Diceros bicornis minor: one gene and its partners. The protein of the gene in region 2 interacts with the protein of the main gene of each other region in a biochemical or structural test. Links are inferred from orthologs where the notes say so. Each region holds a gene or a part of one and is shown on either strand. Other genes may lie near its edges.

Evidence for each region.
Region 1: the proteins of RAF1 (region 2) and PEBP1 form a complex in vitro, tested with the Homo sapiens proteins (3 studies listed by BioGRID and IntAct, with this or other methods). The link is inferred for Diceros bicornis minor from reciprocal best matches to the Homo sapiens genes RAF1 and PEBP1.
Region 3: the proteins of RAF1 (region 2) and PEBP4 form a complex in vitro, tested with the Homo sapiens proteins (2 studies listed by BioGRID). The link is inferred for Diceros bicornis minor from reciprocal best matches to the Homo sapiens genes RAF1 and PEBP4.

Annotation. Positions count from the first base shown.
Region 1 is NC_080774.1:15,124,139-15,132,133, reverse strand, and holds the start of PEBP1 (phosphatidylethanolamine-binding protein 1), read right to left. Parts: upstream 3,096-7,995; 5' UTR 3,044-3,095; coding exon 2,909-3,043; intron 1,211-2,908; coding exon 1,101-1,210; intron 393-1,100; coding exon 292-392; intron 1-291.
Region 2 is NC_080741.1:85,205,944-85,213,693, forward strand, and holds the start of RAF1 (RAF proto-oncogene serine/threonine-protein kinase), read right to left. Parts: upstream 3,031-7,750; 5' UTR 2,698-3,030; intron 1,970-2,697; 5' UTR 1,865-1,969; intron 1-1,864. UniProt on the Homo sapiens protein: Serine/threonine-protein kinase that acts as a regulatory link between the membrane-associated Ras GTPases and the MAPK/ERK cascade, and this critical regulatory link functions as a switch determining cell fate decisions including proliferation, differentiation, apoptosis, survival and oncogenic transformation.
Region 3 is NC_080750.1:70,978,377-70,986,122, reverse strand, and holds the start of PEBP4 (phosphatidylethanolamine-binding protein 4), read right to left. Parts: upstream 3,096-7,746; coding exon 2,965-3,095; intron 1-2,964. UniProt on the Homo sapiens protein: Promotes AKT phosphorylation, suggesting a possible role in the PI3K-AKT signaling pathway.

The sequences.
Region 1 (7,995 bases), on a different chromosome or scaffold from region 2:
GACTCCTCCGCTTATAAAGGCCTAGCGGCTAAGAGGCAATGCTGACGGAGGGGCCACTCTGACCAGAACCCAAGCTTCTAGCCATCTGACACTACCGCAGGTCTCAATGTCTCTGACAGGCAACTGCCTTGGAGGTGAACTGTGCTGCCTGAACTCCGCACTAGGGTAAGGGCTCTCATAAACAAAAGAATAAAGCTCTAAGAGCCAGAATAAAATTTGCAGCGCTTTAGGCCAATCCTGATGTGCACCCAGGCTCCCCTCCCACCTCCTCCAAAAGCAGCCTTTACTAACCTGTGCCCTTGGGAGGCCCAGAGCCCACATAATCAGAAAGGACCGTGCCACTGCTGATGTCATTGCCCTTCATGTTGACCACCAGAAAATGGTGCCATTCCCTGCGAGGAGGAACACAGGATGGTCAATACCATGGGAAATCAGTATGCACTCACTGCAATCAGCAAATGTGTATGCAGCACGTGCTCTGTGCCAGGATGCAGCGATGAATAAGACAGTTCTGCTTTCTTGGGCAGCGCAAACGTCATGTGTCTGCAGAAGAGAAGACCCAACACCTCCCTCCCTCCCTCTGAGACTCTCTAGGGCAGGGGCCTGCAAACTTTTTCTGGAAAGGACCAGACAATAAATGTTTTAGGCTGTGCAGTTCAGACTGTCTCTTTCACAACTACTCAGCTCTGTGGCTGTAGTGTGAAAGCAGCCATAGATAAGACATAAATAAGTTATCATGACTGTGTTTCAATAAAACTTTATTTATGGACACCGAAATTTGAATTTCATGTAATTTTCACAGGTCACAAAGTATTATTCTCCTTTCAGTTTTTTCCCAATCGTTAAAAAATGTAAAAACCATTCTCAGTTCACGAGGCTGTACAAAAACAGGCCTCGGGCAGATCTGGCTCTCGGCTGCAGTTTCTAGACTCTGCTCTAGGAAGTGAAGGGGAGGGAAATGCACACTCTGGCTTAAGCACAGATGTGAACATCCCAAACTGGGTCTACTTCTAGCACAGAACATCCAGTGAGTGACACAGTGCGAGAAGTTCCAGGTCATATGTGAATGACCCGCTGTTCCCCAACTTTCCCCAACTCGCCTGTATTTGGGGTCCTTCCGGCTGGGAGCATCCGGGTCTGTCATGACCAAGGTGTAGAGTTTACCTGGATCAAGGCCATCCCAGGCAATGCTGGTGGGCCGGTTCTTAACCTGCAGGAAGGAACCAGTTTGGAGTTAAAAAGTCAGAAATGCTGAAGAAGCCAACTCTTTCTTTGACCTCAGGTTCCTCAAAGGTAAAACAGAGTAATTTGTTTTTTTTTTTTTTGGTGACGAAGATCAGCCATAGCTAACATCAGATCCCAACCCTCCACTTTTTTTTTTTTGCTGAGAAGATTTGCCCTGGGCTAACATCCGTGCCCATCTTCCTCTACGCCATGTGGGACCCCGCCACAGCACGGCTTGACAAGCCGTGCTTCCGTGCGTACCCAGGATCCAGGCCTGTGAACCCCGGGCTGCCGCAGCAGAGCGCAGGCACTTAAGCGCTTGCGCCACCAGGCCGGCCCCCAGGGTAATTATTAATAAAAGCTAAAGTGTATTGACTCTCCTAAGAGCCAGGAGCTAAAGTCTGACATACGTTATTTATTTTAGTCCCAACAGCACTGTAAGGCTGGTATCCTGGCATGTTATTAACAGAAAGAGGTGGGGTCAGGATCCCGAAGCCGGTGGCGAGCCCTCTCAACTACAACTTTACACTGTCTGGAATGGGAGGGTCTCCAGATTTGGTGACCAGGAGGGTACCCGGGGCCTGTTCAAGTGGAATCTGAATTAATGGGGCTTTTAAAAGTGCACAGGAGATGCGAGAGCCCAGGTGGCCAGGCATGGACAGTGAGTCTGGGAAAAGGAAGGCTGAGAGACGGGCACTTCGCAGTAGTCCCCCCTCATCCGCGGTTTTGCTTTCCTCGGTTTTAGCCACCCCTAGTTAACCGCGTTCTGAAAATACTAAATGGAAAATTCCAGAAATAAATAATTCATAAGTGCGCCCTTCGGAGCCGCGTGATGAAATCTTGTGCCAGCCCGCTCCCCCTGCTGGGGACATGAATCATTCCTTTGTCCAGCGCATCCACACCGTATACGATACCTGCCCCTTAGTTAGGGGAAAAACATACACACAGGGTTCCGTGCCATGCATTCCAAGCACCCATCGGGAATCATGGAACGTACTATTCCCTCCAGGTAAGGGGGGGGCTACTGTATATTTAAACATCCAAAACAATGAACTCTGTCAACAGGCAAAGCAATAAACCATGAGGGCAGTTTATTCACACCGCCGCCCCGGAGCTCCACGACGGTGTCAGGCTCTCTCGCGTCTCCTCTTTGAGCAACCAGGCCCTGGTCTGCTGCCCTGGCCTCAGCCATGGGCGTCAGAGGCCAAAGCGCTGCCCTCGAACCTTCCGGACGCAGAACGCACTTAATCTCTTGACTCTCTCGACCGCCGTACCAAGGGAGGAACCGCTGAGCACCGCTGTTCACCCATTACATAACGCGTCACATGCCCTCGGGTGGCGCTTCTGCGCCGCAAACTGAGGCCTGAAACGCTGACACCGAGCGCAGGCGCCGGGGGCGTGGGGCGGCCACGGCTCCCTTCTTCCCGGGCACGGCCCCCTCCCCGCCCCGCGGGCCCGGCCGTTTCCGGGCCTAGGCCCTGCCCGCGCCTGCGAGTCCCCGAAAGCGGCTCAACCTCCGCCGCAGGCCGAGCCCCGCCCACCACGTGCAGGTTCCCGGGGCTCGGCGGGACCTCAGGCCTGCGGCGCGGGCCCCGCGACGCCCTTCCGTCGGCGGATCGGGCGCACGGAGGCCGGGGCGCCCCTCCCCCCTCCGCCGGGTCCCCGCCCCGCCGGCCTCGGGTACCTGGGTGGGCGTCAGCACTTTGCCCAGCTCGTCGATCTCTGCCCCGGCGTATTTGACCTGCAGCGGGTGCTGCGGCTTCTCGTCCACTTCCTGCAGGCTCAAGGGCCCGGACCACTTGCTGAGGTCCACCGGCATGGCGGGGGCGAGCGGGGCGGGCAGCCGGGAGAGCAGATGGAGACCGGCAGCTCGCACGCAGCTCGCACTCCGAGCGCGCAGAAACTGCCCAGAGGTGGCGCGAGCGCAGCCGCCAGGGGCGCGCACGCGCCCGAGCCGCCGCCCCGCCCCGCCCCTCTCCTCCAATCACCGGCGACGCAGGCAAATTCTGCCCTCTGATTGGTCGAGCTGGCACTTCAGGTTCAGTGCAGCGGGCTTTGCTTTTCTGCTTGCACCGTGGGAAGCGTGAAGCTTCTCGCCGCCGAGTAACCCCGAGCTGTGGCTCCGCGTGCGAGACTGTCGTTGCAAGAAATGCGGTTGAGCTCCCTTTGATTTTTTTTTTAACCTTTTTACATGATTCCTTTCTCCACTTTCTCAATTCAGAAATGGTAAGGCCTTGCTTTTCTCTTGCGCTGCTTAAAACAAGCCCGATTGTCCTCGCCTCCCTGTACTTTCGCGCATGCTCACTAGTTTTGGTAACTGGCCTGGTAAGAGGGCCTGAGCGCAACTTTTGAGCATTTTTCTCAACGGACAAATATATTTGCACATATATTTGATCCCGCTGCCCCCCACTTGGTCCAAACAAGATTCCTGAGAATTTTTTTTTTGAGAACTTATTTTTTTAGAACATAATTATTTCTATTTTGCTGACCAAGTGGCTCTGCCTCTACCAAAACTGCTCTCACTGTGGCCACCCGATGCCTTCTTTTTGCTAAATATAATGGGCAGTATTTAATAGTCCTTATCTGATTTGACTTCAGGACACTGATATCTCCTCCCAGGGAATAGAAAGTTGCGTTTATTTCTTATTAGGAAATAATATAAGTGCCTTGGAGCAAATTCAGAGAAGAAACCCAAAGAAGGAAATAAAAATCGTTTCTATTCCGGTACTTGTGTATAAACATCAGTAACAATTTGGAGTATACCTTTCAAATTTTAAAACTATGAGTATAGATAATTTTGTTCTGTTTCTTCACAAAAAAATTCATTAAACTCTACTATTATAGAATATCTATATCAAAAATAGATCATTATTTTAATGGCTTATTCTACTCTAGATGCACCACAATTACTCAACGAACTTCCTAACGTTGGACATTTATGCTGTTTTGTTGTTTTTCCTTTTACAAATATCACTGAAATGAAGATCCTTATACATATATATTAAACACTTGGTGAATAGTTTTAGGAAAATTTTGTTAGGGGTTTGCTAGGTCAAGCAATGTGTACTTGAAAGGAAGGAATCACAGCTAGTTAAGTGTCTAGTTAAGTCCAGACTGGAAGCAACGACTTCAGTGACTAAGCACTGATAGGATTATTGGTTCTTTCCATCATTTGTTCTATATAAATGCATTTTGAGAACCTTGAAAGCAAAAGGAGAAACAGTCCCTGCCCTCATGGAGCGTAGCAGTGGAGAGAGACATTAATCAAATGCCATTCAACAAACATAAAATTATAAACTGTGATAAGTGCCAGGGAGAGAAGACAGGCCCAGATTGTGGGTGAGCATCTGAATAGGTTCTGCAGCTAATTCCCTGTGTGACCTCAGAAAAGCCACCTGCAGGCACAGCCAGGACGCTGTGAGAAGATAAGTGATGAATGCAAAACCTCTTGGGGAAGATGGAAAGAAATTGCAGATATTTCTGCTCCTGGCTATTCTTGCCCCCTCCCTACCCAACAAGCCAGTGGTCACCAGGCCTATAAACTCAACCTCCTTAGAGCCCTTCCTATGGGTCCACTTCCTCCCCTCATCATAACAACCCTGGTGTCACTCTCCTGGCCTACCGCCTCAAGTCTTCCTCCCTTCTAGCCCATCCTCCTGTCCACGTTCATCTTTCTCAGATGTACATCAGTTCAATCCACACCTCATCCCCCTTTCCCTAAAGCTCTCTGTGGCCCCCCTTTCCCTCAGGATGAAGTCCAGACTCTTAATAGGCCCCTGTAGACTTGTCCCACCTCCTTGCCTCTTCCTCCTTGCATTCTTCGCTCCAAATACTCTGAATTTGTTTCAGTTCCAACTTGTCTTTCTACCCCTGGGCCTTTGCTCATGCTGTTCCCTCCTCCTGGAACACTTTTCCCTCATTACCCTCCCCCTCAAGCCTCACTGTACTCTTGTCCTGGCTCACCTTTACTAATCTTAAACATCACTTCCACCTTCTCCCACCCATCAAGACTAGGGGAAATGCCCTGATCTCTGCATCCACACCCCTTCTGTCCTTTCTCTTTCCTAACATTCAGAGCATTTAGGATTACTCGTTTATCATCGGAACCACACCATCACCCACTTGAATATAAACTCCGTGAGGGTTATCTCTCTTGTTCACTGGTCTTATCCCCAGCACTTAAAATAGTGCCTGACATACTTGGTACATAATATAATCATTATTATTATTATTATAAGAAAATAAGTGAGTTTAAAAAAATCATCTGGTTGGTTTCTGGTTCAGATCACTAAATATTTCTAATAAAATATCACATTCAGAAAAGGCCATTCAACCATAATTCTGGTATCAACAGCACCTCCGTCATGAGCAGCAGTTGGAGAAATCAGCACCTTTCCTCTCACTGTTTATATTAAACAGCTCTCATTAAATGCTCATGAGATAGAGACTAGTGCCACTCCACAAGCCGTGTGTTAACAAAAGACAACTGTTTGGTTCGATGAGATGGTTGCACCTTCATAGAAAATGCTTCTATGCTTCATAGAGTATAGAAAATGCTCAGAAAGAGATTTTTAAAACTTGCTTTAAGCTATTCTCTGGGACTTGAAGCACAGATGCTCACTGGAAGTTTAAGAGATGGGAACTACTCTCTGGAGTGCCTACTGGGTGCAAAGTGCTTAACGTGCTCTAGCTCCCCCCACGGTCCTGCGTGTTATTCTCCTTGCTTTATAGATAAGGTAATGGAGGCTCATGGAGTGATTGGGAGTGACCATCTGCATCTAGAAGCACTTCCACTAAAACAAAGATTGGAACCTACCAAACCATATTAACTGGGCGCCTACTGTGTGCAGGTCATTATGCTCCAATAATGACCACTCCCATTTACCGAGTGCATGCTATATGCAGGTCAGTGCATTCCAATGATGACCATACCATTCACCAAGCACCTACTGTATGTATGCTCCAATGACAACAATTACCATTTACTGAGCACCTACCGTGTGCAGGTCAGAGTGCTCCAGTGAGGATGTCAGCCATTTACTGACTGTTACCACTACCACGTGCCAGGCCCTGACTGAAGGCCTTGACGCCCAGCATTTCATTTCATCCTCATACCAACCCAATGGGGGAGGTACTGCTATCATCCCCGTTCCATAGATAGATAAACCGAGGCTTGGAAAGGTGTAAGTGACAAAGCAGGATGGAAGCAGGCCTGGCTGCAAAGGCCAGACACACAGTTCTCCCACATGCTCTACCTAGGCGTGCTGGGCATAGAGGTGGGGCAGGCGTGATCTCTGCCCTCCAGAGAGCTTTCTCTAGTGAGAGTGTTATACTGTAAGTCACTATGAAGACCCCACATGGCAACCTGAGAATGCAGCTCTTAGATCTCACTGCTGGGAGAGAAATTGGCCAGGCCTCCAGCTGCTGGGCTGTGCTTTGGGGCTAAGGTCATGCCTGGCAGGCTGCCCCCAGCCGGTGATTGAGCTCGGCAGGGACACTAAGGCAAAGCTGGGTGACCCTGGGCTCCTCTGTAGTCAGGACGGGCTTGCCTGCTTTCCTTGGAACCACACCCCAGGCTAAGATGCTTCCCTCTCACCTGCACGTGCCGGATGCTCTCCCAGCCTCTCCCCATTCCCTCCCATTTTGTCTTGCAGCCATTTCCCTAAGAAAGTCCTTGCACATCTAACCCCATCTCGTCATCAGCTTCTCAGACAACCAAGAGTGACACTCCCAAGTTTAAGAGACCGTGTGAGGACTACCTGGAGTGGAAACAAGCAGGGGGTGCTGGGGTGCTGGGCTTGGCCAGTGGGCAGACTGGGTTTGCTGGAATGGGGTGTTTAGGTAGGGGCAAATGGATGACGTAGCAATAAGGCTAAATAAGGCGGAAGGGAGGATCCTTTTATTTTTTTCAACTTATAAAAAGTTTAAAAATTTCTTCAATATACAAATAATCAGCCACATAGCATAATCTCAGGGCACGGGTGTGGGAGTCAGAATGCATTCACATTCCAAATCCATCACCCAGGACCTATGAAATCTTGGGCAGGTGTGGCAGGCAGAAGAATGGCCTCTCAAAGATGTCCACATCCTAATCCCCAGAGTCTGTGAATATATTACATTACACGGCAAAGGGGAATGATGGGTGCAGATGGAATTACGTTTGCTGATCAGCTGACCTTAAAATCAGGAGATTATCCTGGATTACCTGGATGGGCCCAATGTAATCACAAAGATCCTTAAATGGGGAAGAGGAAGGCAGGATTGTCAGAACCAGAGTGATGCAATGTGAGAAGGACTTAACCAGCCATTGCTGGCTTTGAAGATGGAGGACGGGGGCCGTAAGCCAAAGAATGCAGGCAGCCTCTAGAAGCTGGACAAGGCAGGGAAACGGATTCCCTCTAGAGCCTCCATGAGGAATGCAGCCCTGCTGACACCTTGATTTTAGCCCAGTGAAACCCACTCCAGACTTCTGACCTCCAGAACTGCAAGGTAATAAATTTGTGTTGTGTTAAGCCGCTAAGTTTTTGGTCATTTTTTACAGCAGCCATAGGAAACTAACACAGCATATGGCTTAGCCTCTCTAAGCCTCAGTTCCTCCTCTCTAAAATGGGTTTACCAACACCCCTGAAATGATCATTGTGAGGACTAACTGAAACATAGCCTGGCACCTCCAAGTGGGAAGCTATTACTATTACTATATGTTCATTATATAAAAACTCATATATAAGCAAACAAAATTAATTAACCAATTAAGTAAAGACCTTTAGTAAT
Region 2 (7,750 bases):
AAAAAATAAGCAAGTGGGACTTTATCAGATTAAAGAGCTTCTACAAGACAAATAAAACCAGAATCAAGATGAATAGACAACCCACCAGCTGGGAGAAAATATTTGCAAAACATATATCTGACAAGGGGTTAATCTCCATAATAGATAAAGAACTCACACAACTGAACAACAAAAAAACAAACAATCCAATCAAAAAATGGGCAGAGGGGGCCGGCCCCATGGCTTAGCGGTTAAGTGCTCACGCTCCGCTACTGGCGGCCAGGGTTCGCATCCCAGGCGCGCACCGACGCATCGCTTGTCCGGCCATGCTGAGGCCGTGTCCCACATACAGCAACTAAAAGGATGTGCTACTATGACATACAACTGTCTACTGGGGCTTTGGGGAGAAAAATGGAAAAAAAAAAAAAAGGGAGGAGGATTGGCAATAGATGTTAGCTCAGGGCTGGTCTTCCTCAGCAAAAAGAGGAGGATTAGCATGGATGTTAGCTCAGGGCTGATCTTCCTCACAAAAATAAATAAATAAATGGGCAGAGGAAATGAACAGACACTTCTCCAAAGAAGATATACAGATGGCCAATAGGCACATGAAAAGATGGTCAACATCACTAATCATCAGGGAAATGCAAATCAAAACCACACTAAGATATCACCTCACGCCCGTCAGAATGGCTATAATCACCAAGACAAAAAACAACAGATGTTGGAGAGGCTGTGGAGAAACAGGAACCCTCATACACAGCTGGTGGGAATGCAAACTGGTGCAGCCTCTATGGAAAACGGTATGGAGATTTCTCAAAAAATTAAAAATAGAAATACCCTATGATCCAGCTATCCCACTACTGGGAATCTATCCAACGAACCCGAAATCAACAATCCAAAGAGGCTTATGCACCCCTATGTTCCTTGCAGCATTATTCACTATAGCCAAGAAGTGGAAGCAACCCAAGTGTCCCTCAACTGATGAATGGATAAAGAAGATGTGGTATATATATACAATGGAATACTACTCAGCCATAAAAAAAGACAAAATCGTCCCATTTGCAACAACATGGATGGACCTGGAGGGTATTACATTAAGTGAAAAAGGCCAGAAAGAGAAAGACAAACACTGTATGATCTCACTCATATGTGGAATTTAAACCAACACACGGACAGAAAAACTGTATTGTGGTTACCAGGGGCAATGGGGGTAGGAGGTGGGCACAAGGGGTGAAGGGCGACATATATACGGTGATGGACAAACAAAAATGTACAGCCCAAAATTTCACAATGTTAAAAACTATTAAAACATCAATAAAAAAAATGTTCTTAACTGGGTTTAACAAAGTAAATCTTTTCAATTACTATCAGCTTCAACATCATCAAGAGAAGGGGGAAATTAATTATCAGCATGAAAAAAGAATTAGCAACATTCATTTAAAATAATCCAAATTAAATCAACTAGTTCACTATCGTCGACAAAGATTCTTCACGATCTAGTCAACTTTTCCTTTAGACCCTCATCTCTCACCACTTCCTCCCTGCACCCCGGATTATTTGCTGCTCCTCAAACTCATCCCAACTCCTGCACATCTCTATGCCTTTGTACCAGCTGTTCCCTCAGCTTAGAATGCTCTCCCCTCCTCCTCACCTGGAGAGTAATTACTCATCACTCCAAAACTCAGCACAAAAGTCCCCTCCAGTGGACAAGCTTCCTCAACTCCCCCAGGCAAAGCCAGTTCCAAGTTCCCACAACCTTATCCTTATCACAGAGCATTGTTTTCACGCCTCGGAAGAGAATGGAGAGCAGACTCCCTCCACTCAGCCCACAGAGGACAAGGCAGGCAGAAATACTCAATGAACGTGCGCTGAATTCATTCCCTACCTAGATTAAGTAATCCTCGAGAACCCAGTCACATCCCAAGGAAACACGGGAGATCCTATCATTCTTCCCACCAAAGAATGAATACCAGAGGGCACACGCAGAGCCCTGGAAAGAGAACAATGAATGAACACAACAGCTTCGCCTCTCACGATGTCCAAACTCTTCTCGGGGCATCGACCGGCTCTGCAGAGCGTCTGCAGCTGCAGAACTGAAGCGTCCTGGTGGCTCTCACTTCACACAAAAGACAGCCCTGGATCGTCATTCCAAAGCATCCCGGGGCCACTCGTCAGTAAAAGCATCCCAAACCTTTCATTAGTAACCCACAGAGGCCTGAAACCCCAGGCGAGGCCCCTATGCCTTTGTGGTGGGGCACTGTACCCATTTCCTCTTCTCGTGCCCGACTCCTCTCGTCTTTCCTAAAAGGGTGTCACTTGAGTGACGGACACCGAGAGAAGATGCAAGCCCGGGTTCCCCACTCCGCGGCCAGAAAGAAAAGGAATTAGCCCATCTGAGTGACAACACAGAAACGGGGCAGCTCCAGGGGGATTTTCGCATTGTCAAATATGAGGAACGTGCACCGGGTACAGGGGTGGCGCTGGCACGTTTCCCCGAAGCACAAGGAAATCTGAGTGGGGATGTGGGAACTCCGCTCGCCGGCCATGACACCGGGCCCCGAGCCCCCGTCCGCCCAGCGCCACCTGGGGTGACAGCGGCCTGGCCCGGGCCCGGCGCCCGGCAGCCGCGGGGCTGCTCCGTCAGCGCCGCCCGGGAACCAACCCCTCAGCCCCGCCGCCCGGCTCCCCCGGCATCCAGAGCCCGGCCCTGGCGCCTACCTGAGGGAGCCGGGCCGCCTCCGTGTCCCGTCGTCCGGCTGCGGCGTCTGGTCCGCTCCTCCTCCCCGCGGCGGGTGAGGGAGCGGGAGGCGGTCACATTCGGCGCGTCCCCAGCCCAGGGGACGGGGCCCCAGGCAGCCCTCGCATCGTTGCACTCGGGCTCCGCACCTCAGGGCACACGCCCCAAGCCCAGCCAGCTGGCCCTCTTCGGGGCCCAAGAAGAGCGGCAGGGGAGCCTCCCCGTCTCACTCTCGCTCTCCTCTTACTCCCGCCATCTAAGATGGCGGCCCAGCGCCCGCGAAGAAGAGACTCTCCAGCGGCCCAGGCAAACGAGCCCTCCACTCGGTGCTCCTCCTCCCGACCTGCGGCGCCACTGGCTCTTTGCTTCTGCGCGAGCCCGCCTGGCAACCGACTTCAAACTTGGCTCGGGCATCCATCGCTCTGGCCTGAACTCAAGCCCCGCCTCGCGTGGAAAGGCGTGGCCTCGCGAGGTTGCCGGCCGCCATTTTGGAGTTGTGGAGGCTGCAGGGCGGGTGCTGACTGGCTCCCGGACAGGCGGTGGGGAATCGAGAGAAGGTTGGCTTTTAGCCACCCGGAAGGGGCTTGAGGCCTCAAGGGGGAACGAAGGCCAGCCTGCCCGCATCAAGGCCTAGGGATAACCAGACATACGCGAGGAGGCACAGCATAGAGAACAGTGTCCAGCTTTGGCGCGTCCTCTCCGGAGTCGGACACGCTCCGCTACTTACCGGTTATGTAGGAAAGTGTCTAAACTTTACTGAGCCTCAGTTTCCTCATCTGTAAATTGGGGGTTCCTTTTCCCCCATCAGATTGGCAAAAAGTTAAAAAGACTGGTAATATCAAGTCTGGTGCTAGGTATATGAAAACCTGTTGTGTACGGTCATTCAGCGCTGGCAGGAATGGATATCGGGAGGGCAATTTGGCGTTATCTGTTGACATTTTTAATGTATATACCCTTCCGTCCAGCAATTCCACTTGTAGGCACTAATTCTAGGTAAATGTGTACACATACCCACAATAAGACGTGCTGAGGTGTTTATTGCCATATTATTTGCATTAGAGATACACTGCGAAAAATGCGGATTAAGTAGGAAACTGGGTAAATAAACGGTGCTACCTCCACAATAGAGGATATCATCTGTTAAAAAGAATGAGCTAGATCTTTGTACTGATGTTTAAACATCCAAGACATTAAATTTTTTTAAAAAGTAGAACATGTTGGGGCCGGCCCGGTGGCGCAAGCGGTTAAGTGTACGGGCTCTGCTGCGACGGCCCGGGGTTCGCCGGTTCGGATCCCGGGCGCACACTGACGTACCGCTTGTCAGGCCATGCTGTGGCGGCGTCCCATATAAAGTGGAGGAAGATGGGCACGGATGTTAGCCCAGGGCCAGTCTTCCTCAGCAAAAAAAGAGGAGGATTGGCAGATGTTAGCACAGGGCTGATCTCCTCACAAAAAAAAACAAAAAACAAAAAAGTAGAACATGTACAGTATGATTTTATTTACTTGAACACAGGCATGCAAGATTACCCAATACCGTGGGCACCATTCTTTCGTTTAAATTTTCGAGAGCCTATTATGTACCACACATTGTTCTGTGTATTGGGAAATCAATAATCATCAAAAGCCCTGCCTTCTAGTGATGAGAGACCGAAAGACAGCATAAATAATAAATTCAGGTAGTAATATGAGCAGTATAAAGAAAAATGAAGATGAAGCAAGATAAGATGACAGGGGCATGTAGACCAACATGAAGATAAATTCAGGGGAAAGACTGGAAGACATTGAATATGGAGGGACCATGAGGGGATTTTCTTTTTAATAGGAATAATAACAATAACACCTACCTCACAGGATTAAATGAGAGAAAACATGGAAAGCACTTAGCACAGAGCCTGGGAATTGAGACTTGAGTACCTGGAGCCTGACTGCGTAGGTTCAAATTCGGACTCGGTCACTTCCTCCTCTGCCACTTAGACAAGTCATTTAACACTCAGTTCCTCATCTGTAATGAAAACCGGATAGTTACCCACCTCTTAGAGTTGTAAGGATTTGGTGAGTTTAAGATGTAAAGCACTTGGAACAGTGCCTCTCATATTAAACATTATAGAAGTGTTAGCTGTAATTATTATAGCTGTCTCTTATCATATCATTACTACTTAGGGCAGAGCAGCAAAGCCACACTTGCTGACCCCCAGGCCACTCCTTCCTTCAGTCGCCCCCAGCTGGTATTTGCCCAGCACTTCACAGCTTAGAAAGCTTAAGGAGGGGCTGCCCTGTGGCTTAGCGGTTAAGTGCATGCGCTCTGCTACTGGCGGCCCGGGTTCAGATCCCGGGTGCGCACCGACGCACTGCTTGTCCCGCTGAGGCGGAGTCCCCCATACAGCAACTAGAAGGATGTGCAACTATGACATACAACTATCTACTGGGGCTTTGGGGAGAAAAAGGGAAAAAAGAAGGAGGATTGGCAGTGGATGTTAGCTCAGGCTGATCTTCCTCAGCAAAAAAAGAGGAAGATTGGCATAGATGTTAGCTCAGGGCTGATCTTCCTCACAAAAAAAAAAAAATGTTGCATAAAAAAAAAGAAAGCTTAAGGAGTCTGTGCCTTATTCAAACCTCAGCTCACCAGTACGAGTGACTAATTCATTTTTTCAAAATAATTTATTGAGGCAAAATTCACATAACATGAAATTGAGGCAAAATTCACATAACATGAAATTAACCATTTTAAAGTGATCAATTCAGTAGCATTTAGCATGTTCACAATGTTGTGGAACCACCACCTCTGGTTCCAAAACATTTCCATCACTCCAAAGTAAAATCCGTTACCCATTAAGCAGTTTCTCTGCATCCAATCCCCACCCAGCCCCTGGCAACCACCAATATGTGTTCTATCACTATGGATTTATCTCTTCTGGATATTTCGTATAAATGGAATCACGCGATATGTGACCTTTTGTGTCTGGCTTCTTTCACTTAACAAATGTTTTCAAGGTTCATCCATGTGATTGCATGTATTAGTACTTCATTCCTTGTTATGGCTGAATATATAAGTATATACCACAATTTGTTTATTCACTTGTGGATGGACATTTGGGCTGCTTCCATCTTTTGGCTATTATCCGTAGTGCTGCTATGAGCATGCAGGTACATGTACTAGTTTGAGTACCTATTTTCAGTTATTTCAGGCATATACCCAGGAGTGGAATTGCAGGAATCATCTTGTACTCCACTGGGTTGCATGTCCTGTACTTTGGAGACCTCTGGTTTGGTGGTAGGCTCTCCTACTCGTAAGAGCTAGAGTTATTAGGGAAGGTCTCAGAAGAGGAACAGGGAAAAGAAATGATCAGAAATGGCTTGAAGGGACAATGGACATGCCATGATCTCAGATCAAACAGAGGAGGGGAAGAATGGGAGGTGTCATTGGTAGAGGGAGGGGATGGGGGAGGCTAACGTGGAAACTTTCCTGGGTGTTAGAATGTGCTACTTCTTAATTTGGGAAGTGGTTACATGGGTATGTGTATGGCTATATATATACGCACACACATATATATGTAAAAATTGGTGTGTGTACTTTTCTGCACATTTGTTATATCTCAAAAAATTATTTTGAAACATGGACCATAGGTCTTTAAGCCAGGCCAAAAAAGGTACGTGTTTCAGATGAAGGAAAGAAGAACTGCACAAAAAATACCTGTCATTTATGAAGGCTCTTCATGTAATCAGGCATTTTACACAATCTCCAATACACAATCATCACGACTTGAAAGTCCTGATCTTCAAATGGGGAACCTTTAAGAGAGGGTAATTAATCTAAGGACAAAGCTGGGAAGTGGTGGAGCAGGGATCTGGACCTGTTTGTTTGTTCATTCCTTATTCAGTTGATGAAGATTTCTGTTGTGCTGAATATGTGCCAGGCCCTGTGTTAGCCCTGGGCCCGTAGCCGTGACCAAGCCCAAGTGTCTGCCCTCAAGGACTTTAAGGTCTAGCAGGGGAGACAAACAGCAAACAAGTAAACCAATACATCAACATGAAAATTAGGATTGTGGTAAATCAGTGCAGAAAAGGACTAGAGAATGATAGACTGGGAAGGGAAGGGGTGCGCCTTTAGACTCAGTAGCCAAGGCCTCTCTGAGGAGGTGATAGTTAAGCTGGGCACTGAAGGATGAGAAAGAGCCAGGAGAAGAGCATTCTAGGCAGTTGGAACAGACATTTTCTCCTTGATAGACCCAACCCCTCCTCTCTCTGCACAGAGGAGTAGGCATGGGCTCTGAAGTCAGACAAATAGGAGATCAAACCCCCGCCCTGCCCTCACCGCTGTGATTCTTGGCCTCTCCCTCAGGTGATGTAGGAGCAGGAATATTTGCCTTCAGGGGTTGTTGGGAGGAAATGAAACGGGAAAGTACAGGCCCTGGCATGCAATAGGTGCTCAGGGAGCTGCTCCTCACCCTCTCCCTCTCCAGCACCTCTCCCAGACTTACTGCTTTCTGCCCTAAAAGGGCAAGTCAGCCAGGTCTTGAAGAAGAAAATCACCAGCACATTCAAATGTCCCTTTCCCTCTTCCAGTTACCCCCCTAATTTTTTGTTCTCTTTTGGGGCCAAATTTATCCCAAAATGGTCTAGACCCAGGCTCGATTTTCTCACCCATCCCTCCACTAAGCCCCAGCAGTCTGCCTTCTGCAGCCACCGCCAGAATGCTTCTCCTTCTCACCAAAACGTCCCTCCAGGAGGGCTTCCCAAGCTTGGCCTCAGTGTCCTTTATGACATTTGGTCAAGGGCATCCCCGTCCAGTGGAAGTCCTGCCTCTGCGGTTCTCTCCTGTTTCACTGGCCTGACTCCTCCTGTCCCAGGAACCACGCCTGTTCTCCTCTCAGGCCTACCTGGCAAAGCAGCTCATGCTATTCTCTCTGCTGGAAATGCTCTTCCCTACTTTCAGTCCCAGCTCAAGGGCCACACCTGCATGGAGCCTCCTCTGGCAGCTGCGACCTGCAGTGTTCTGCCCTTTCTCTGAATTTTCGTGCATCCCCCGCTTCGGCA
Region 3 (7,746 bases), on a different chromosome or scaffold from region 2:
AGGGCCCATGGAGATGAGGCTGCCTTCACAGAGGTATGAGGAGACTCGGGGGGCACCCCCACCCTCTATTGTGTGGTTCTCAGTGTGAAAGTGTGGGGCGCCATGCTTAGAAAGAGCAACAGGTCTGTCTCCAACCAACCCTTCCTGAAGGTGAGGCCCAGAGGCCCAGAACCAAGGCCCCCGAGGAGCCATGAAGGATGGAGGTGGATGCCCAGATTAGAAAGAGCTTCAAGCGAAGGTGTGTGTGTGTGGGGGGGTGACATCTGTCTTCAAACATTTGAACAACCATCAAGAGGAAGAGAAACTAGACTTGTTCTATGCAGCACCTGGGGCAAAACTAGGAAGAAAGGGGTGAGTTAAAGAAAGTCAGCCTCTGCCTTGAGACAAGGAGGCCCTCGCTGGAGGATGAGCTTGTCAGCACAAAGGACAGGGCTTGGGGGCGCAGCTCCTGGTCACCAGGAGAGGCCACCAGGGCCCTTGTGCAGGGCAGCAGGGAGAGGGTTGCTGAGTGGATTCACTCCTTGGCTTCAGGTTGGACGACTGTGGTTCTCTTGATTCTGATCTTGAGCCAGGGGTTCTGACTCTCAGTGCTGTTGTCAGTCTAGTCTGGCTTCTCTCAGGAGTAGGTGAGGTATTATTCTGGAAGAGCTTTTCTCTCAACAATATTTCCCACTGCTTGTCACTGTACATAAAATTTCTCCTTTATGGATTAACATTTTTAGGCATTGAGTCCTAACTACAAGAATTCTCTATTAGACTTTAAATGCCCATGAGAGGAGTGGCTTCTCTGGGGGTTCTCTTGGCAAGGTCAGAAGCCTGAGCTGAGCAGGGATCCTGGGGAGGGACCCAGTGCAGGGGGTACTGATCTCTCCTTGGGGGTCTGATATGTCCATGAGGTGTTCTCATTCAGTGATGGTCTTTTACAAACAAAAATCTTCAGCAGTAATAAAGACAAAGCTTCCCTTTTGCAATGATGGTTTACAATCAAAAGACATTGTCCTAGCATACAACCCTAGTGTTGTAAGTCCATGCTTCTCAAACTGGGGGGTCTAGGTGTAATCTATGGAGTCCTGAGAATGGCTCCTGCAATGGACTAAATGTTTGTGTCCCCCAAAAGTCATATGTTGAAATCCTAGCCCCAGTGTGCTGGGATTAGGAGGTGGGGCCACTGGGAGGTGCCTAGGTCATGAGGGTGGAGCCCTCATGACTGGGATTACTGTGCTTAAAAGAGTCCCCAGAGAGCTCTCTCACCCCTTCCACTGTGTGAGGACACGGCGAGAAGACAGCCATCTATGAACCAGGAAGGTTCTATGGCAGGTTCTCACCAGCCACAGAATCTGGCGGCACCTTGATCTTGGACTTCCCAACCTCCAGAGCTGTGAGAGATAAATGTCTATGGTTTGTAAGCCCCCTGTCTATGGTATTTTGTGATAGCAGCCAGAATGGACTAACACAGCCCCCCTTTACCGGAGTTTGAGAAGCTCCAGGCCCTGGAGGAGGGTCGGCAGCTGGAGGTGGGTGGGGGAAGAGCGTGAGTGTAGCGCCAGACAAGGGGGGTTGAATGCCCCTCTGCCTCTTGTCAGCTGTGTAAGCACCGTGGGTAGCTGCAAGATGGGGATGAGAAGACCTGTTTGGTGGGTTCCTGATAACAATGGAATAAGTCCAGGAGTCTAAAGCATGTAACAGGTGCCCAGAGCTCCCACGTGTGCCACGGAGACAGGCCACCAGGGCGCCAGCATGTGGACCTCCGCAGGGCAGAGCCAAGGGCAGCTGGGCCCAGGTCACCTCCAGTGACCATACACAGAGGATCATTTTCTGTGTGTCCCACAGTGAACATGGGAAGCGCAGAGGGCCCCCATAAGGGGCCCTTCTCGTGGCCTGCCCCTGCCTTGCCCTGGCCCAGCTGACCTCTCAGCTCGTGGGGCTTGACCTTCTACCACCAGAGTAAAAAGCCGTCCTGAGCCCGGAAGGTTCCACTCAGCAGAGCACCTGGAGGACGGGCGCCCACATGAGAGACGCAGCCGCGTTCCCTCCTGCGCCCACACAAACCTCACTCAGAACTGTTCGCTAGAGTTTTAAAAACGTAGTGATAGAAGCAAAACTTATTTTATTTTATTTTTTGGATTCAACTACCTAACTTTTTAAGGGAAAGCGTTTATTTATCTTTCTGAAAGTAGTGTCTGTAGCACTCAAATATACGCAAGAAGACGGAGTAAGACGTGCGAGTTCTTCCTCCCCTCACTTCCGATGGCTTCAGCGGGATGCGGCCACCTTGGTCACCAGACTGGCAGAGGGGGTTGGCAGCAAAGTGGCCTGGGCAGCTCTCAGGATGACCCACGAGGCCAGGACAATTAGGACTGGCCTTTCTAACCAACAGTCATGAGGAGGGGGTTGGACCTCGATGCAGAGGGGGAGAAGCTCGTGCCCTGAGGAGGGAAGAGGCCAGCCTCCGAACCCAGCTTCTGCTCTGGACAACGTCCAGTGACCTCACTCCCTAAAAGGCCTGCCTGTCCCGACACTTCCGGGGCCTCATTACCCAAAAGCAAACCAGCACCTCTCACCCACGGAGGGTCCAATCACACTCCCTCTGTCAACTGCCACATTTCTTTACAACGGCCACTTTGTTGGGGGGAAGGGAGCATTCCGGGCTGTAGGGAGGGATGGTCTCTCTTGGGGTCCCAGCAGGGAGGGTGAGGCCAGCACCACAGGGCCCTCAAGTTTGGAGGCCCCGGGGGAGCCTCCTGATCTTGGGAGAACTGCCTATGGAAGGCAGGAGCCCGTCTCAAAGTCCTTCCCCCAATGCCGTCCTCCATCAAGGTGGTCTCCAGAGCTGCCTTCTTTTCTGCCTGTCCACAAAGGCTGCCTTAGGAGACAGTGCTCCTTGGTTCTGGAAACACCCCTCCCTGAGACCTCTTCTCTGGTTTCCACCCACCCGGTTGCTGTGTGGGGTCCTGCCAGCCTTACTTGCAGAGGACAGCATCATTGTCAGACAGGGCCTCGTAGACGCACGGGTCGTTTTCCTCCTCGTCTTCTGTCACCACCATCGTAAGACCCAGAAGCAGGGCTGCCATGGCCAGGCTCATTTTCCAGCCCATGGGCACCTGGAACAGAAGGAACCTTCAGAGCTGACGGGCCCTCTGCTGGGGTACACTTTCCATCCCTCACACCCCACCCCAGGGGCCCACCTGGTGGGACAGAGACCTCCGATAAGCAGAGAGAGAAGGGCGGGCAGCTGCCTGGGCTCCGGCAGCTAATCTGCCACCCGGACACAAGCACCTTGGGAGGACCTGGGCCTACTCCAAGCTGGACTCGATTTGCAGTCCTGGCTGAGGCCCCTCCTCCGTCAGAGCAGGGCTTTGCTGTCACTCTAGTCCTGGTTGCCAGGGCAAAGAGCAGGCTGCAAACAGAGGTGCTTATGTAACCTCTCGGCACTGCTGTGTGCCCTGCACCCCCACGCTCCCTCCCCCTGAGGTCAGCTGGCTGAGGGCCAGCCTGCTCCTTTGGCTTTGAGGCCTGGGAAGCTGATGACCCCAGGCTTTAGGCTGGGGGCAGGTTCTGGGGGTGCTTGTGAGAGCCTGACCTTAGTTGTTTTTCTAGAAGTAGGGGTTTGGCTGGCCATGCCCCTTGGACAACTCTGCTTCTCCCACCCACAGTTCCTCCGCCACCTGCCATGACAGCCTCGGGGCTGTCCGGTGGGTGGTGGGTGTGGTTGGACATAGAGACTCGTGTAGGAGGGACTGCTGCACGTAGGGAGGGCCACCCGGGCCCCCAGGGCCGCTCTGGAGGGCCGGCTGAGGACAGAAGGATGCTGCGGACTGCACCTCGCAGCAGTGCTGAACTCAGCACTCTCCCAAAATACTAGTCTCTGGAGGAGCCGGCTGGCAGAGCTGCCGGGGCAGGGGTAGCTGGGGGCAGGGGTAGCTGGCACCAGCGCTGTGCCGTGCCGGAAGGAGGGGTGGCCTGGGGCTGAGCTGCAGTGAGCCTGCAGCAGGGACTCAGAGCACAAGCATTCCCTGGGGGAACAGGCCTGCAGGAGGGTGTGTGTGGGACTCTGGCTGGAAGCCAAGCGGCAGGGGAAGACCAAAGGCAGGTCTCCCACAGCCTTTCCACTTGATCCGCTCTCTGTGCTCTCTGAAATGGTGTGTGTCGGAGGCTGCTCTGAGCTCCACCAGGCTGCGGGGGGGGGGGGGGGGGGGGGGCGGCACTCTGCCTTGCTAGGATGCACCACTTCTCCCTCCAAAAACAGGTGAAGCGACCCATCGCCCTGTGCCTTGCTCAGGAAGATGAGATCTGAGACCCTTGCTATAGAGGGTCTGTGGCTAGATCTTTAGAGAAACGACAGTCAGCATAGCTTGCTTTCCAGTTGAATTCCTGCTTCCAGGATCCCAACTTCCAGGAAAAAGCCCTTCTTTTGGGCTACCAATTAAATGCATTTCTCAATAATTGGTCTCCGTGAAGTATGACCAGGGTCCCCCACAGAGAACACACTCCCGAGATATCTCCTATGGAAAGTGTCTCCTAGCAGCCTCCTCACAAGACGGTGGTGAGAGGGAAACGGAATGAGTTATGTGAGGCACTTAGTAGGTGCCTGCACAGAAGGAGTGCTCACTAATTCATGGAGAGTGTGAGTATCCTTCCACAGATCCACCTGTTCATGCGTTCATTCATTCAAAATCCATTTTTCCAAAGGGTATGGAGCACCCCCCATGTGTGCCAGCCCTGAGCCAGCCCTGGGGTATAGGGTGAGCATGGTCCCTGTCTTCGTGGAGCTCATGGGACAGCCAGAGCCAGAGGACAATGCTGCCAGAATGGTCATCCAAGGCCAAGAGACTCTTGTCTTCAAAGTGGCAGCCACTAGAGAAGCCAGAACTTTCCTGGGTGCCAACAGCCCTTAGCACCCACAATGAATGGCTGTCTGGAGGTGGGGGAGAGTCCAGGCTTGCTCCTGTTCAGCCCGCTCATGTCAGCAATTCCTCCTTACTCAGTTTGCACCAGGCTTTTATCATTGAATTCGCGTGACGATCCCCTGAAATAGGCACCATTATTATCCCATTTTACAGAGGGGGAGACTGAGGCACAGGGAGGTTAGCTAACCTGGACCTTGGTCACAAGTAAGTGGCAGACCTGAGATTTGAACCCAGGCTGTCCGGCTCCATGCTGTTAACCACTCTGCTCTACTGTCCTCTCTTGTGGCTCTCCTCTGCCCCCACTTGCTTCCCCTCTATTCCCTTTGTTCTTGGAATAAAGCCCGGAATGCCCCACCCACCCCCACATCTGGTTCTTCCTGCCTCTCTAGCCCAGTCTCTCTATTCTCCACCACTCCCGCTGTTAGCTGTTAGCTCCAGCTAGTCCTTCAGGCTCCTTCCTGCCCCAGGGCCCACCACCTTGCTGGATAGCTGAAGTGTCATTTCCTCAGAGAAACTTGCTCTGACCCCCAGGCTCCATCAGATCCCTGTTATACACAGTCAGAGCACTTTACTCCTTTCCTCCCTGTTCCTGCATGTTTGTAATGAATACTTCTGCAGTTATTTACTTAGTGCTTTGTTTATAGTCCCCACTCGGCCTGCCCTCCCCCCAGCCTACAAGCTTCTTGGAGGCAGCACCGAGTCTGCGTCTAGCATTCCAAGTGCAGCCCCTGGTGTGTCTAGATGCTTAATGAATGCTTGTTTGAATGCCCAACAAACTTAGCACTTCTATTTCTGATAGTCCTTATCTTCACTTACCAGCTCCTAACTCTGTAAACATCAGTAGGAAACTAACCACTCAGGCTGGCCCCAGGCCCTGGATCCCTTTTGCTTATTTATCTAACCTTCTCTGGCTTGTTTTGGTACAGAGAGATCCGACAGAATGCAGAGGTGCTTGGAATTTTCGAACCTGCTCTTTCTCTTGGGGATTTGTAGGATTTTGCTTCATACTCGATGTTCAAGATCTGGGACCCACGTTCAAGCCAGGGGGAAAAGCTCCCCATCCCCATCGCCACCCTGTTTTGCTCAGTTGTCTCACTCCTGGAAGCTCCCATCTCTAGATCTCTCAGTGCCCGCCCCTGAAGCCCCCTTCTCTTCCTTCAGTCACCTGGGCTGGGACTACCTCCCAACACCATCAATCAAGCCAAGCCTGTTGGCTTCCTGAGATGCCTCGGCCCCTCCACCCTCTGGGACCTGCTGGACCAGTGCTCCTGGAACTCTTGACCCCCATCCCTCCAGGCCTCCTATGCCTGACACCACCCGGCCCTTCACTGCCCAGGTGTCACCTCCTTCCTCCATCCAGACACAGACTCTCTCGCTTTTCCTCCCTCCTAATCCTTTCCACCTATGCCCTCTGGAATCTCTGAACTGCAGGGAATAAGTCCCCCCTCATTCTCTTTCTTTCATTCTGCATTTAAAAAATTAATTGAGTTATAATTCAATACCGTAAAATTTACCGTTTTAATGTGTACAATTCAGTGTTTTTAGTACAAAAGTCACTCAAGATTGTGTCACCATCATCACTGTCTAATTCCGGAGCATCTTCATCACCCAAAATAGGCTCCAAAGAACTCATTAGCAGTTATTCTTCACTCCTTCCTCCCCCAGGCCCTGGGAACCACTAATCTACTTTCTGTTTCCACGGATTTGCCGATTCTGAACATTTCATATAAATGGAATCGTACTGTCTGTGGCCTTTTGTGCCTGGCTTCTTTCACTTAGCATAATGTTTTCAAAGTTCATCCACATTGTAGCATGTATCAGTACTTCTTTCCTTTTTTTTTGCCAAATGTATTTCACAAAACTTAAGTAGAAAAAAAACATAGCTTGTATATTTATCCACTTATTTGCCATTTATAGTGCCGTGCGATCTTTCTGATAGAGGCAAGTTTCCCACTAATATCAATTTTTTCTGCAGCCTTGTAGTTTTTTTTTTTTTTTTTTTTAGCAAATCTTGTAGTGCAGGCTTCATTCTTCTTGTGGCTGAATAATATTCCATTGTATGGATAAACCACATTTTGTTTACCCATTCATCAGTTGATGAATATTTGGGTTATTTCCACTTTTTGGCCGTTATGAATAAAGCTGTTATATACACTTGTGTACAAGTTTTTGTGTGAACGTGTATTTTCAATTCTCTTCAGTATATGCCCAGGAGTAGAATTGTTGGGTAATTGTATAGTAATCCCATGTGTAACATTTGAGGAAATGCCAGTCTGTTTTCCAAAGCGGCTGTTTCATTTCACATTCCTACCAGCAATGAGGGCTCCAATTTCTCCACATCCTCGCCAGCACTTGTTATTGTCTTTTTTATTATGGCCATCCTAGGGAGATAAAATGGTATCTCATTGTGGTTTTGACTTGCATTTCCCTAATGACTAATGATGTAGAACCTGTTTTCATGAAGTTTTTGGCTATTGTATATCTTCTAACTTTAGAGAAATGTCTATTCAAATCCTTTGACCATTTTAAAATTAGATTGTATTTTTATTGTTCAGTTATAACAGTTCTTTGTGTATTCTCGATATTAGACACTGTTATATTGTGATTTAATTAAGAAATATATATATTTGGTCTTTGTCTTGTTTCTGGCACCGAGCTCCTAAAACCCTTGGAATTTCCTAAATGAAAGAGCAATAAATGTGTCTTGATATTCATAACAAACCCCTTCAACCACACCTAAGTTTATGTGAATGAGGTGACTTTTGGAAAACACTAGGGAGGGGGGCTGGTTGCTAAGGGAACCAACCATGTGATTGGAGGGTTGGAATTTTCAGTCCTC